3 linked regions of the Coturnix japonica genome follow. The protein of the gene in region 3 interacts with the protein of the main gene of each other region in a pairwise test. Links are inferred from orthologs where the notes say so. Each region holds a gene or a part of one and is shown on either strand. Other genes may lie near its edges.

Region 1 (3,652 bases), on a different chromosome or scaffold from region 3:
AGACCCGCCTGGACGCCTACCTGTGTGACGTGGTGTAGGGAGCCTGCTTTGGCAGGGGGGTTGGACTCGATGATCTCTAGAGGTCCCTTCCAACCCCTACAATTCTGTGATTCTGTGATCATCACAGAACTCTCTTATGTATTATTTTGACTTTAATTACGCTGTGGACAACGGATTTTCCTGATATGTCTTCAGTCACATTGGCAACTTGGAAATGAATCCGTTCCACACAGTGTGGCAGCGAGTATTCAAAAAATACTTAGAAAAAAATACCAAACCATACTCAGGTTCTCAAAGTCTGGTAATTTTTTCAGGACTTTCCAAGTATGTAATATCTGAGTTGCTTCCCTCAGCCCACCAATCCATCTATCACAGAAAGGCAGAAAGAGATACGAGGGCTGACTTGATGATATTTTCATCAGGTTGCTTTGCCTGAGGAAGTGAAATAGCCCACATTCCTTTATGGCACCGAGTACTGAATAAAAGTATCAGTAACTTACAACAATATTATTTATTCGTATTGAGTTAATTTAGTTAAGATCCAGGCTTTATTGCTTCTTTTGAGACAATGGAGGTAAGACATCTAATTCTTTTGTCTGAACCTCTCACATGCATTTGGCAGTACCAGTATGATGAGGCTGGTCCAAGAGTAGATTGCTACCCAGTGAAAAATTCAGCTCCAACTTGACTTCATCTTCTGCCCCTGCTACCTTTTTTGGGGACATTATTTATGAAGGGATCTTCAGAAGCTGGATAGAAAGCTGCATAAACTTGCCAAGAGTGGAAGGATGGGTAAGGAGGTAGGGTGTATGTGGTGTGGCTGGCCAGAGCAAGAGTGGTGCCCTGGATATAGGATCATCAGATTTGGAGTCATGGCACCATCAGCCAGAAACCTTTCATAAGACATCAAGACTGAGTACAGCCTGGAGGTTAGAATGCAGATCTCATCACACTAGATAGCACTGTTTTTGGTACTACACTGCAATGCAATGTTGAAAGAACAGAAAAAAATCATAGAATTATAATTGCTGAACTGCTAATCAGGAGATTGCCTGAGGCCTATCTATCAAATTATAAGTATTTTTGAGGATACATATTTCACCTGTATTCCTGCATCAAATTTTGGCCAGCTTTGTGGTTTACAAAATACTCTTCTTATATCATACAAAGAATATCATACAAGATAGCAATTAAAAGGAAACATGAAATCCAACTGAGAAAATATATGTCAATCTTCCTGATAAGAGGCTAATGTCAGATATTAAGAGAGATACATAGGATGCATGCTCAAATACCATCAAAGAAAGAGAGTGCCCATTCAGATAACCTCTCTCATCTAAACAAAAGAGATAAAAACCCTCTGTGATTCACAACATTATTTTTCTGATGGAATGACACAAAAAAAAATAGTGACACCTATTGTATGTTTTGTATCATTTGAAACACAAAGACACTGAAGTGAATGTTTTTCCTATGAACAATACACACTATTTGAGTGATAAATATGTCTATCACAAATCAAAGCTAGTTCTTGTTTTAAGCATAACGAAACAGCAAAATATCCTGTTTTGTTGGAGCTTCTGTGAAGAAAATGGGGAAAAAGCTATATGTAAGCTGCCGTGAAAGAACAGGTGGCAGAATAGAGTGCCTGCCAGGATGACACACTCTCTTCTGTAAACATTGACTGCAGACAGTTTCCTCTAAAAGGCAGATTCACTAGCTCTAATCCCACAGTAGGTATACTAGATTGATATTCAGTTCCTACAAGTAAATTAGGATAGAACAGCTATAATGTCTGGTGACTGTTTTGTTCATGTTTATATATATACTTAAACTGAAACTAGCATAAACACTGAGAAACTTACAGAAGACATCTCCTCTAAGGCTTTGCTCATGGTCAATCTGATTCTCATAATCTTCCTTCTCTTCCTCACTTGTCTCATCAACTTCCTCTTCTATGGTAACTTCAGTTTTTTTCTCTCCCACAGTGTAACTCCCACCAAGATCAAAACCGCCTTCGTAGTCCAATGACTGCAAGTGGGTCTTAGAAGCTGGTGTCATGGCTGCTTCTGGGATCACATTCTTGATTGCTTTATGCTTTGTCACACTGCTTTTATGTGCAATAAGTTTCTTAATCGTGTCCTTAGCTGTTCCGGGGATTCTTGGAATTTCCTTCACTGATTTTTCAGGGACAGCTAGAAACCAGAAGAAAATAGTAAATATTCACCTAATGAATCATTCAGCAAACATGTTTATAAATGCCCTTGATAATACCCAGAGACTCATACACCTAAATTCTCTACCATGAGACATAAGTTCACCTCTGTACTGTACTATGTATGCTTTTACCTCTGCTGTACAGACAGCTTTCTGGTTTAGAACTGTAGAAGGACAAAATGGTATGGGTTGTAAAAAAGCTTTAAAGACCATTTAATTCTAGCTCCTTTGATACATTAGACTGGGTTACTCAACTCGGCCTTGAGTGCCTCCAGGAATGGGGCATCCGCAGCTTCCCTGGGCAGCTGTGCCATCACCTCACCACTCTCCTAGTAAAGAATTTACTGTGAGTTATAGTGAAAACACAAAATTGACCCTCTCTTACAACCTCAGCTGGCCTCATGTGTAACATAGGCCACACAGCTGCTTATATTCAACATTTATATACAAGAGATCGGAGGGAAAAAATAACTTCCGTCATTTTGTGGACTACTAAAAATTGTCCACAATGTGACTCCCTACAAAACAAATGTCATCCTACTAGCAGTGAGAATTTTCCTTAGACATCTTTTGTGAACTCTGTCCTAACATCCCTTTTACTGCAGGCTGAAAAACACTGAAATAAAGCATATTTTGAGGTGAGATATATCAAGCCAATACATCACATCTCATTTAGTTCTAAAGGATAAAACACTAAAACTTCAGAGAGGTACCCAAGAATTCCAAAATATTATCTTGAAATTGCAACTTGGACTAGAACATAAATACACAATTTCCTAAGATTTTTACTATTTTATGATTCCTTTTGACTGACAAATACTAAAACGATATCTAGCCTTGTGGTAGCTTGCAACTTCTGATCCTGCTCAGAAACACATAGGTCAGAACTGAAAAACTTCGAGTGGAGTAAAAGTCAACCAAGATTGTTCAAATCTGTAAAATAAAAGACATAAATCTGAATGTGTGGGTTTTCCCCATTTTTTGATCCATAATAGAGCATAATGAAGTCAAATATTGTCTACAACCAGACAGAAAACTTCAGAACACTTAGCGATAAGAGGACATTTTTCTATTTACTTAGCAGCCATGATTTTCACATTATGCTTTTTTTCTTAATATATTGTGTCTCAAGACAAAAGCCTTTTGTTTCTTTTCAAATTCAATTATTCTCTCCACAGTCATCAAACTATGTTGGGATGCTTGAATGAGGGACTATTTTTAATAGAACCCCATTTGAAGATACAATTCCATTGATGCAGGGAGGCAGAATTGATTTTCCAGCACCAATGAAACCCAGAAGCAGTGCAAAGGGCTCCTTTTGGGTGGTCCCGTGTGGAGCCAGGAGATCAACTCAATGATCATCATGGGTCTCTTCCAGCTTGGGATAGTCTATGATTCACTGTTACTTTTTTCTGTATGTTTCTTTTCACATAAG
Region 2 (3,652 bases), on a different chromosome or scaffold from region 3:
GTATGAATTCACCACAGTGAAATATCAGAATGGACAAGTCTGTTTCATTACAGATAATACAGGGCCAAGCAGAGGTGTACAAGTCAGCACGAGTGCCAAAACCAGCAAGTGACTGTTTACACAAGATTCCTAACCTAATCAGCCCCACTGAAAAAGCACAGTTTCAATGAGTAAATTGCTACTGTAACAAAATATGTACATCATTTAAATAAAAATACTATTCACAGTGTATGCAAGTACCTAGTGTTCACACCATGACCTTCTCGCTCATTAGCATTTCTCTGAACAGCAGTATATTTTTCTTCTTCACTTCTTTCATCATTTTCCAAGGCAACCCGAGCTTTGTATTGGGCACTTGATTCAATTTCCTCTGCTAATTGAGTTGCTCTGGCTTCCCGTTTCAAAAACTCTTCTGAATTATCTCTTTCTAATGGCACCCTGAAAAACAATGGAAGAAAAAGAACATCTGAAATGAATTCAAAAGTACAAAGAACATACAAAATTATATAGAATTAATTCTAGACGGGTCAAATTAAAAATAAGAAAAAAAGAAAGAAAACACACACAAAAAAAATGCTTTTAAGACAGTTTATTTGCTATATTAGCAATATTCCTGCACTGGTTTGACATTATGTACCAGTGCCATTTACCTGCCTAGAGAACCGAGGTCAGGATGCACAGCTTTACCATATGACTGGCAGACTCCCCAGTCCCTAAAGCTATGCAAAGTCTTCAACTTTTAACAGGGTTGAGCACATTAGCAACAAAAAGGCCTTAGCCCATTATTTAGATAGGAAGGTAATTCAAGAGACCAAATTTGAATTTCTTTAGCAATTTACACATTCACAATAGATGTAAGAGTCCCCAGCACTACTGAAGTTAAGAGTTACAAACTTAATCCTCTGATAATTCCAGTCACGGAATTTCAGTTCTTCCAGTGATAGTAACTGCAGAAAAGATGAATGCAGTACTTTAGACCAGAAACCCAAGACTCAATTGCCATGTCCTGGAACCTCAAAACCATTCATTCTATGTATTATGATATTAGGTAATACCACACTGCAGCAAGCAAACGTAACCCTTTTGGGAAAGCCACTCGATACACGAGCAATGAATTACTAAAATAATGAACTACAGAAGGACAACACAACTGAGCTGACACTTCCTCCTGTCCATCTGTCATTGCTGTTTTTCACCTGTTCTAATTTTTGTGTCAGGTTTTATGAAATAACTTTCTTCATTGACTTTACTTTAGAATAAGCTATGTAGAGATGAGACTCTGACAATGCAATCTTTGGTATTAGATAATCAGTACTGCACACATTTGGGATAATACAAACAAATAACAAAGGATGTAGTTGGAAAGACAGCCCAAGAAAGAAATAATATATGCAAGATTACTCAAGTATTGGTGGCAGGGCTATGAAAGCAAATGGCTTTGCCAAATTGTACCATGTAGCTCTGCTACTACAGCAAAAGTCTCCCCTCCTCACACACAGTTTTGGCCAGCTGCTGCCATTATCAATGGTGACTGAGAGGATGAAAGAGAAAGCATGGCCTCCTGCACAAAGCTCTGGCTCACAAATAAGATACGTGTGAGCACAGCAGCCATCAACACAGCCAAGGAGTGCACTTGCTAGGACAAAGCTTGTGCCCTTATGCAAACTGACAAACTATACCTGCTAATGCTTAGCTCTGGGAAGATAAAATGAACAGTAAACCCTGTACAATCCCCCTCAAGTGCACAGGTAAGCATTTAGCTGGACCACTGCTCATCATATGCTTGGAAAATCAGAATAAAGTGTCCCAGCTAAAGCAACAAAATGCAAAGCAAGTTCCTTGACTAGCAAATAATGGAATTTGTCTTCAGCAATTTAAAGCCACCTTCATGTTCTTAATTTGTGTTCATTTATACCCATAAAACAGAAAGATCACAGACTAAAGTTCAGAAGTACAAAGAGTACTTTGGAATACTTCACTGCTCTAGGAATAGCTTCCCTAGGATGCAGACATAAGCCAATTAAGCTTTTGTTAAAATACATCTATAACGTGGCAATAGAAAGAAAATGTTGAACAAGGGATGTGCAGACAAAAAAAAAAGAAAAAAGAAAATTAAAATAATCACTGCAATTCCTGAACATTCACAACCAAGTTTTAAACTTTGTGGGTAAAATGAGTGGGAAAATAAAGACATTTCACGATGGCTGTTCAACATCTGCAACCAGTTTGTGTTGTAGCTGCACGAACACTATAGCTGCAGACTACTGGGAATGAGTCCAGGCTGCCAAAGTAAGCACAGCAGACTTCATACTTCTTCTTCTATACTCAAGTTGTTGTTATATTGTAACTAAAACTTCAGGTCTGCACAAGCCTGTTAAACAAGTTATCCACAGTACAAACCCCCTTGAAATATCAGCAGCGTTTCAATACTCCAATACCTACATTATGAATAATCACAATAAAATTAGGATTTAATCAGACTGTTCTGCTGGGTTAAACACAAACTACACATATGGCAGCTACATAAAGAGACATTATAGTTTCACAGTTTGTATTTTTCACTCTACTTGTAAAAGTTTTTCTAAGAATTAAGCATTATTGCACGCCTAAATTCAGAAAATGTTGCAATGGGAATGAACTGTGCCCATTTAAGGGAATATATACAGATTGCTACACAAACTATTCACAGAAATCTGGCAAGGTTTCTTAAGCACAATTCATCCATTATTATCTTTTTTTTTTTTTTTCAGTTATTTGATTCCACAACCTTAGAAAGTATATAAACTTATCTTGAGAATACGAATTTTGTCACACCAGGGACAACATTAAATACAAATCTAATAAGAAAATATTTTGGAACTTACGTATAAGAAGATAAACTGCTGTCATATGTTGATATTACACCATAATTTTCTTCATTGTAACGAAACATGTCGTTGGGATCCCATCCGTTAGACTAGAAGAAAATGATGCGTGTTTTTCAAGATGTCATTGGAAACACATTCCCTTAAAGCCAAGGGCTGGTAATAGGAGTCAAACCTTTTGCTCTTTTGCCTTGGCTTACAAACTCACTGTTTATATCAGAAAGCTAGCAGAGCCACAGTTTATTTCAGGGGTCTTTGTTCATCAGATGTATGTACTTTATCCTGAAAAGCCACGTTGGTTTCTTTTTTGTTGTGTGGTTGGTTGGTTTCTGTTTTTTAAAGCACCATGCCCATACTGGACTAGTTAATGGCTAACAAGCACTACACAATTCTGAACGTTAGGAGCGGCCCTTGCTATGACAAGCACTGATACTTCCCAAAAGCATTATTATCTGAGATACATGCTGCAGGCAGAAGACCCCTGGTGATCAGGGCAACTTCCCAACTTTATGAAGTATGTTATTACAGCACTCAAGGCTTTAGCCTTCACAAATGCTTTGAAAGTTTCATGAAAGCACTGACAGTATTAAGTACTCCAACAAATCTCAGCTGTACAGTACATACACCAAAACTGACAGGGGAACTGTTCCACCAAGACAAAGTTAAGATTCCCCACCATAACTTGACTCCATTCTTGCCTTTAACACACTGCAGCAAATACCTTGCTAAGAAGAATGCATGGTTGAGTGAAAGCTAACTGCTATGATATACAAAGAAGCTCAATTTAA
Region 3 (4,256 bases):
ACAGACTTGCAGCAGCACAGTTAATACATAAATGTGGTTCTATTTCTTCCTTAGATGCTCTGTGGGTAATACACATAAATGTGTAATGTAGCCTGTTCTGTACTTCAACATTTGTCAGCCTCATTTCTTGTAATTTTGAAGGAATTTTATGATTACAGACTCACTTTTGTTTTCACAAACTCAGGAATATTTGTTCTAAACTTTATGATGTTTCACAGAGGTAAAACCATCCATGTTTTTTTTTGTCTAAAATCCAAATGGGGTGAATATGCCATTCACTCCATATGGAGCAAAGCTACCACCTGCTTCCCAATGATGTACTCCTGAAGCAGTTAGTGCAAGGAATTTGACAGACATTAAGGTCTTCAATATGATTTCTGTTGTGAAGTGGCATTATTTAATGCAGGTGAGCCTGACCTTTCACAAGTCAAATATGTATTTATATATATATATATAAAATCAAAACACTTGCTTAGCAATTAAACAATCTAGACATAGGAGTCATACTATTTCAATTTCTGCCAGGGACTTATTGCCGAAATAGCATTTTTTTAACATTTAAATAGTGAGACAAATCTTTCACAACTGAAAGAGTATTCTGTAATAATAACATTGTATACTCACAATGCACTCGTGTGTAAAAGGACTACTAATTTTACAACATAAAAGGATGAAAGAAACTAAGCCAAAGACTTCCAAATGCTTTACTGAATTAAAAGGAGCATCAGAAATAACTTGAAATTGTTACAGGTGTGACTTAGGACTGCAGTACAACTGTGCATCATACACAAGTTCTTACATGTCTAAGAATGATGGGAAAGATTCAGAGTCTTTAAAACTTCCAGTTTGTTTCATCCCATCTGGGAATCTCCATTCACAGTGGCAATGCCTATCCATACTCTGCCTGGGGATCAATCCATTATCAGAAGGATTCTCCCAGGGGTAAGGACAGCACAACCAAGGCCTGGATTTCTCACTCATGCTTAAAACAAGCCAATAAACAGATCTGTCTTGCAACCTACTTGTGAGTCATTCTCATACATGAATGTGTCTTCATGCCCTGCATACAAACAGTCTGTGAAAGTCACGGCTGGGCCCAAAAATCCCTGGGTCATTTGATAGCAGGCTGCTAAATCTGGCATCAGCAATATACTATTTTGGCTCCAGCCAGCTAAAACTTTTCTTTCCTTCTACATGGCAATACTGCTGACAGTCCATGTGAGCATGTCATCTGAAGGACAGAACAGCACTCACAGACCATTCTCCCTCTAAAAGGGATGTGCACCCTGCTGCTGCAGAGGCACATTCATTAACTTACAATAATGGTGAACTGAGGCACGCTACTAGAAAGTAAACTTCAGATTGCCTATTTCTTAACTCTGGATGACACAGATCCTGCAATTCTTACTTATCAGTGTGAGAACTCAAATAGCAGTGATGATTTCTGGGCTTGATATAGGTAGCAGAGAGTGATAAAATGAAGTAGCAGCAGCAGATGGACACTACAGTATGGGCTCAGGCACACTTAAAAACTCCTTACTGCATCTGTCATGAGAACAGCAGGTTTCTGTGAAGTCTGTTTTACCAATGATGCAATGTAATTTGTTATGAAAGGTGAGACACAATGTCACCCTGCTCCTGCACGGGCCTGTGGAGGACTTGGCACATCCCACCGCATTTCTAGTCAGAATGGGTATGGTATAATTGCAAAGACAGCAAGAACTAAAGTTGGGACTAATTCTTGTGTAAGGGTTCATTCCTTTAGGTGCATCTCTCCACATTGCAGCAACAGATGAGATGAAAGAGAAGAGATGGATGAGAAAGGAAAAAGCGTAGGTGTTGAAAAGCCTAATGGCTGCTGTATCTGCAAGTCTGCACCTAGGGGCTGCTTACAGCAACATACACTGCTACCTGAAGATGTAATGACAGTCAGTGAAAATTACCAGGAGTTCTGTGCTCACTTGCAAAGAAAATAATGGAGCTTCACGCAAGACTTGGACTACAGTCTGTAAATTCAGATAAATTTCCCAGGCTTCTACAAAACCATTTTGGATTCATCCCCAGAACACACCAAGTCTGAGCCCAATTCAGGAACTGTACCCTTACAGACTACAACATACAGACTCTGCATTATGAAACAAATCGCAGCCGGGTGAAACACCCACCCTGACCTCCTTGCAATAACACACCATGCCTAAAGCAACACGACCAAATCTCATTATTCAGATTTTGTCTGTAACCTAAGTGGGTTGGGGGGTGGTGAAGGGAGGGTAGTTGGGGGGGGGGTTTAAAAATAATTTAAAAGGTCTGATTCAGAAAGCCAACCTAAAACCGTTCTGATGGAGAACCAGTGCACAGACCGCAGAACGGGTCCGACGCCCACGCGGGCACCTGCCCCAGCAGCCGCTGCGCCAGTCAGTCCCTGCGAGACCGGCACCCGGTGCGGCTGGGGCGGCGGAGCAGCCTGCGGTGCTCTCATTCATGCCCGTGTATTCTCACGCACCGCGCACACACACACACCACGCACACCCGTGCACGCACGCACCCGTGCACACTCACACCACGCGCACCCATGCACACGCGCAGCCCACGAGCGCCCGTGCAATCGGATGCGGGCTGGGCAGCCGGACTGAGTCCAGCGCCGCGCATCGGACTGCGCCACGCTGCCGCGCTCCACGCACCCGCGCACGGCCCCAGCGGCGCGGGGGGGACCGAGGCGGTACCTGGGTCGCTTTATGGAACTGCTTCTTGAGCCCGGCCACCGACATGGCGAGGGCGGTGCGATGCAGACGAGAGGAGCCGAGCGGAACCGAGCGGCGCCGAGGAGCGATGGGGCTGGTCCCGCCGCCGAGGAGCTGCTGCTGCCGCTGCCCGCTGCTCGCAGCCCCGCACGCCCGGCGATGGGAGGTGTCAGGCGGCGGCCGCGCTGCGGGGGGGCCCTGACGTCAGGGCTGGCCGCACCGCCTCCCCGCGCAGCCCCGGGCCGCCCCCGCCTCGCCCCCGGCCCCGGCGGCGCTGAACGAGAGCAGCCTTGGCGCGGGCGGAGGCGGCGCTGCGGGACCCCGCCGGCATCCTAAGGGCCACTGCCGACGGTCCCTCCTGAGCAGTGTGGACCTCATCCCGTGCAGCCCCACGGGGACGCCGTTCAACCCGCCTCGACTGGGACGGTGGGCAGTGATGGACAGATAGACCTGGGGCCGGGGGATGCGGGTGTCGGCATGCCGTTTCTTCAGGCCTAGCTGGTCTCAGTGGGATGATGCCAGCTCTGCCTCCTTGTTGGCCCTCAGTATGTGTGTTCTTCTCCCCTTGCAATGCCAGTGACACACGGGCAGCCAAACATACAGCCTGCCCCACTGCTGGCACACTGGTGTGGCTGTTGGCTTGAAGGTAAAGAGCCTCAAACCCAAATAAATGTCAATAATGTGTGCTTTAGCAATTTGGTCAGATGTGCTATAAACACTAGCAGAACAGTAATTAGCAGTAATTATGAGGCTCTGCCAGGAAAAGCCTAAACAATGCAAGCAGTGTGACCCAAATGTAACAGCTCTTCTCTGCAGGCTGGGCCAGTCGCTGTGGATGTGTGCTGCATCTCAGCGCAGCTGGGATGAAAGCTTGCATCTGCTGAAAGCAGCCATGCTGCGCTGGCAGATCCATCCCCACTAACATCCCACAGCAGCTAGGTAGCACAGATCACAGGAGATGGGATGGAAACATTCTGAGAGATACCTGGAGCTGTTTTTAATCTGCATGTGGACTTACTGTGGTGTAGCACACATGCTTGGTGCACTTAAAGAAAACAGGCACTGTGAGGGCCCACATATCACCTCATACCATGAGGTATAGAATCATAGAATTACCCAGGTTGGAAAAGACCTCGAAGATCATCAAGTATGGGTCAGTGGTGACATCACAGCACCCAACTTTGAAGCACAGTTCTGAAAGGGACTGCAGCAGGAGAAAGGACTGTGAATGCAAATCACATTGGTGCTTTCAGAAGTATCACCAGCGTTGCTCAGCATGGAGAGTGGCAAAGAACATCTCTCTGCTTGTGGGGAGCAGACTGGAAGAGCATAATGGCTTCCTCGTGGGCACAGTAGGAGGCATTTGTTTCCGATCTAGTCCTGCACCAACATCAGAACACATCCATTCATTTTAGTTTTAGTATTAGCTTAGAGGATGAACACTGAGATGATATGGAGTGGAAGGAAGTTTCTTGTGCTAGTCATGGAATCATAGAAGATCCCAAGCTGGAAGGG

The links.
Region 1: the proteins of SH3GL2 (region 3) and EGFL6 interact in a two-hybrid assay, tested with the Homo sapiens proteins (2 studies listed by BioGRID and IntAct). The link is inferred for Coturnix japonica from reciprocal best matches to the Homo sapiens genes SH3GL2 and EGFL6.
Region 2: the proteins of SH3GL2 (region 3) and ATXN2 interact in binary tests that used the Homo sapiens proteins (3 or more experiments, as listed by UniProt). The link is inferred for Coturnix japonica from reciprocal best matches to the Homo sapiens genes SH3GL2 and ATXN2.

Annotation. Positions count from the first base shown.
Region 1 is NC_029516.1:110,857,661-110,861,312, forward strand, and holds part of EGFL6 (epidermal growth factor-like protein 6), read right to left. Parts: intron 2,196-3,652; coding exon 1,866-2,195; intron 1-1,865.
Region 2 is NC_029530.1:5,325,826-5,329,477, forward strand, and holds part of ATXN2 (ataxin-2), read right to left. Parts: intron 2,957-3,652; coding exon 2,865-2,956; intron 439-2,864; coding exon 241-438; intron 1-240. UniProt on the Homo sapiens protein: Involved in EGFR trafficking, acting as negative regulator of endocytic EGFR internalization at the plasma membrane.
Region 3 is NC_029547.1:29,706,968-29,711,223, reverse strand, and holds the start of SH3GL2 (endophilin-A1), read right to left. Parts: upstream 2,915-4,256; 5' UTR 2,769-2,914; coding exon 2,724-2,768; intron 1-2,723. UniProt on the Homo sapiens protein: Implicated in synaptic vesicle endocytosis. May recruit other proteins to membranes with high curvature. Required for BDNF-dependent dendrite outgrowth.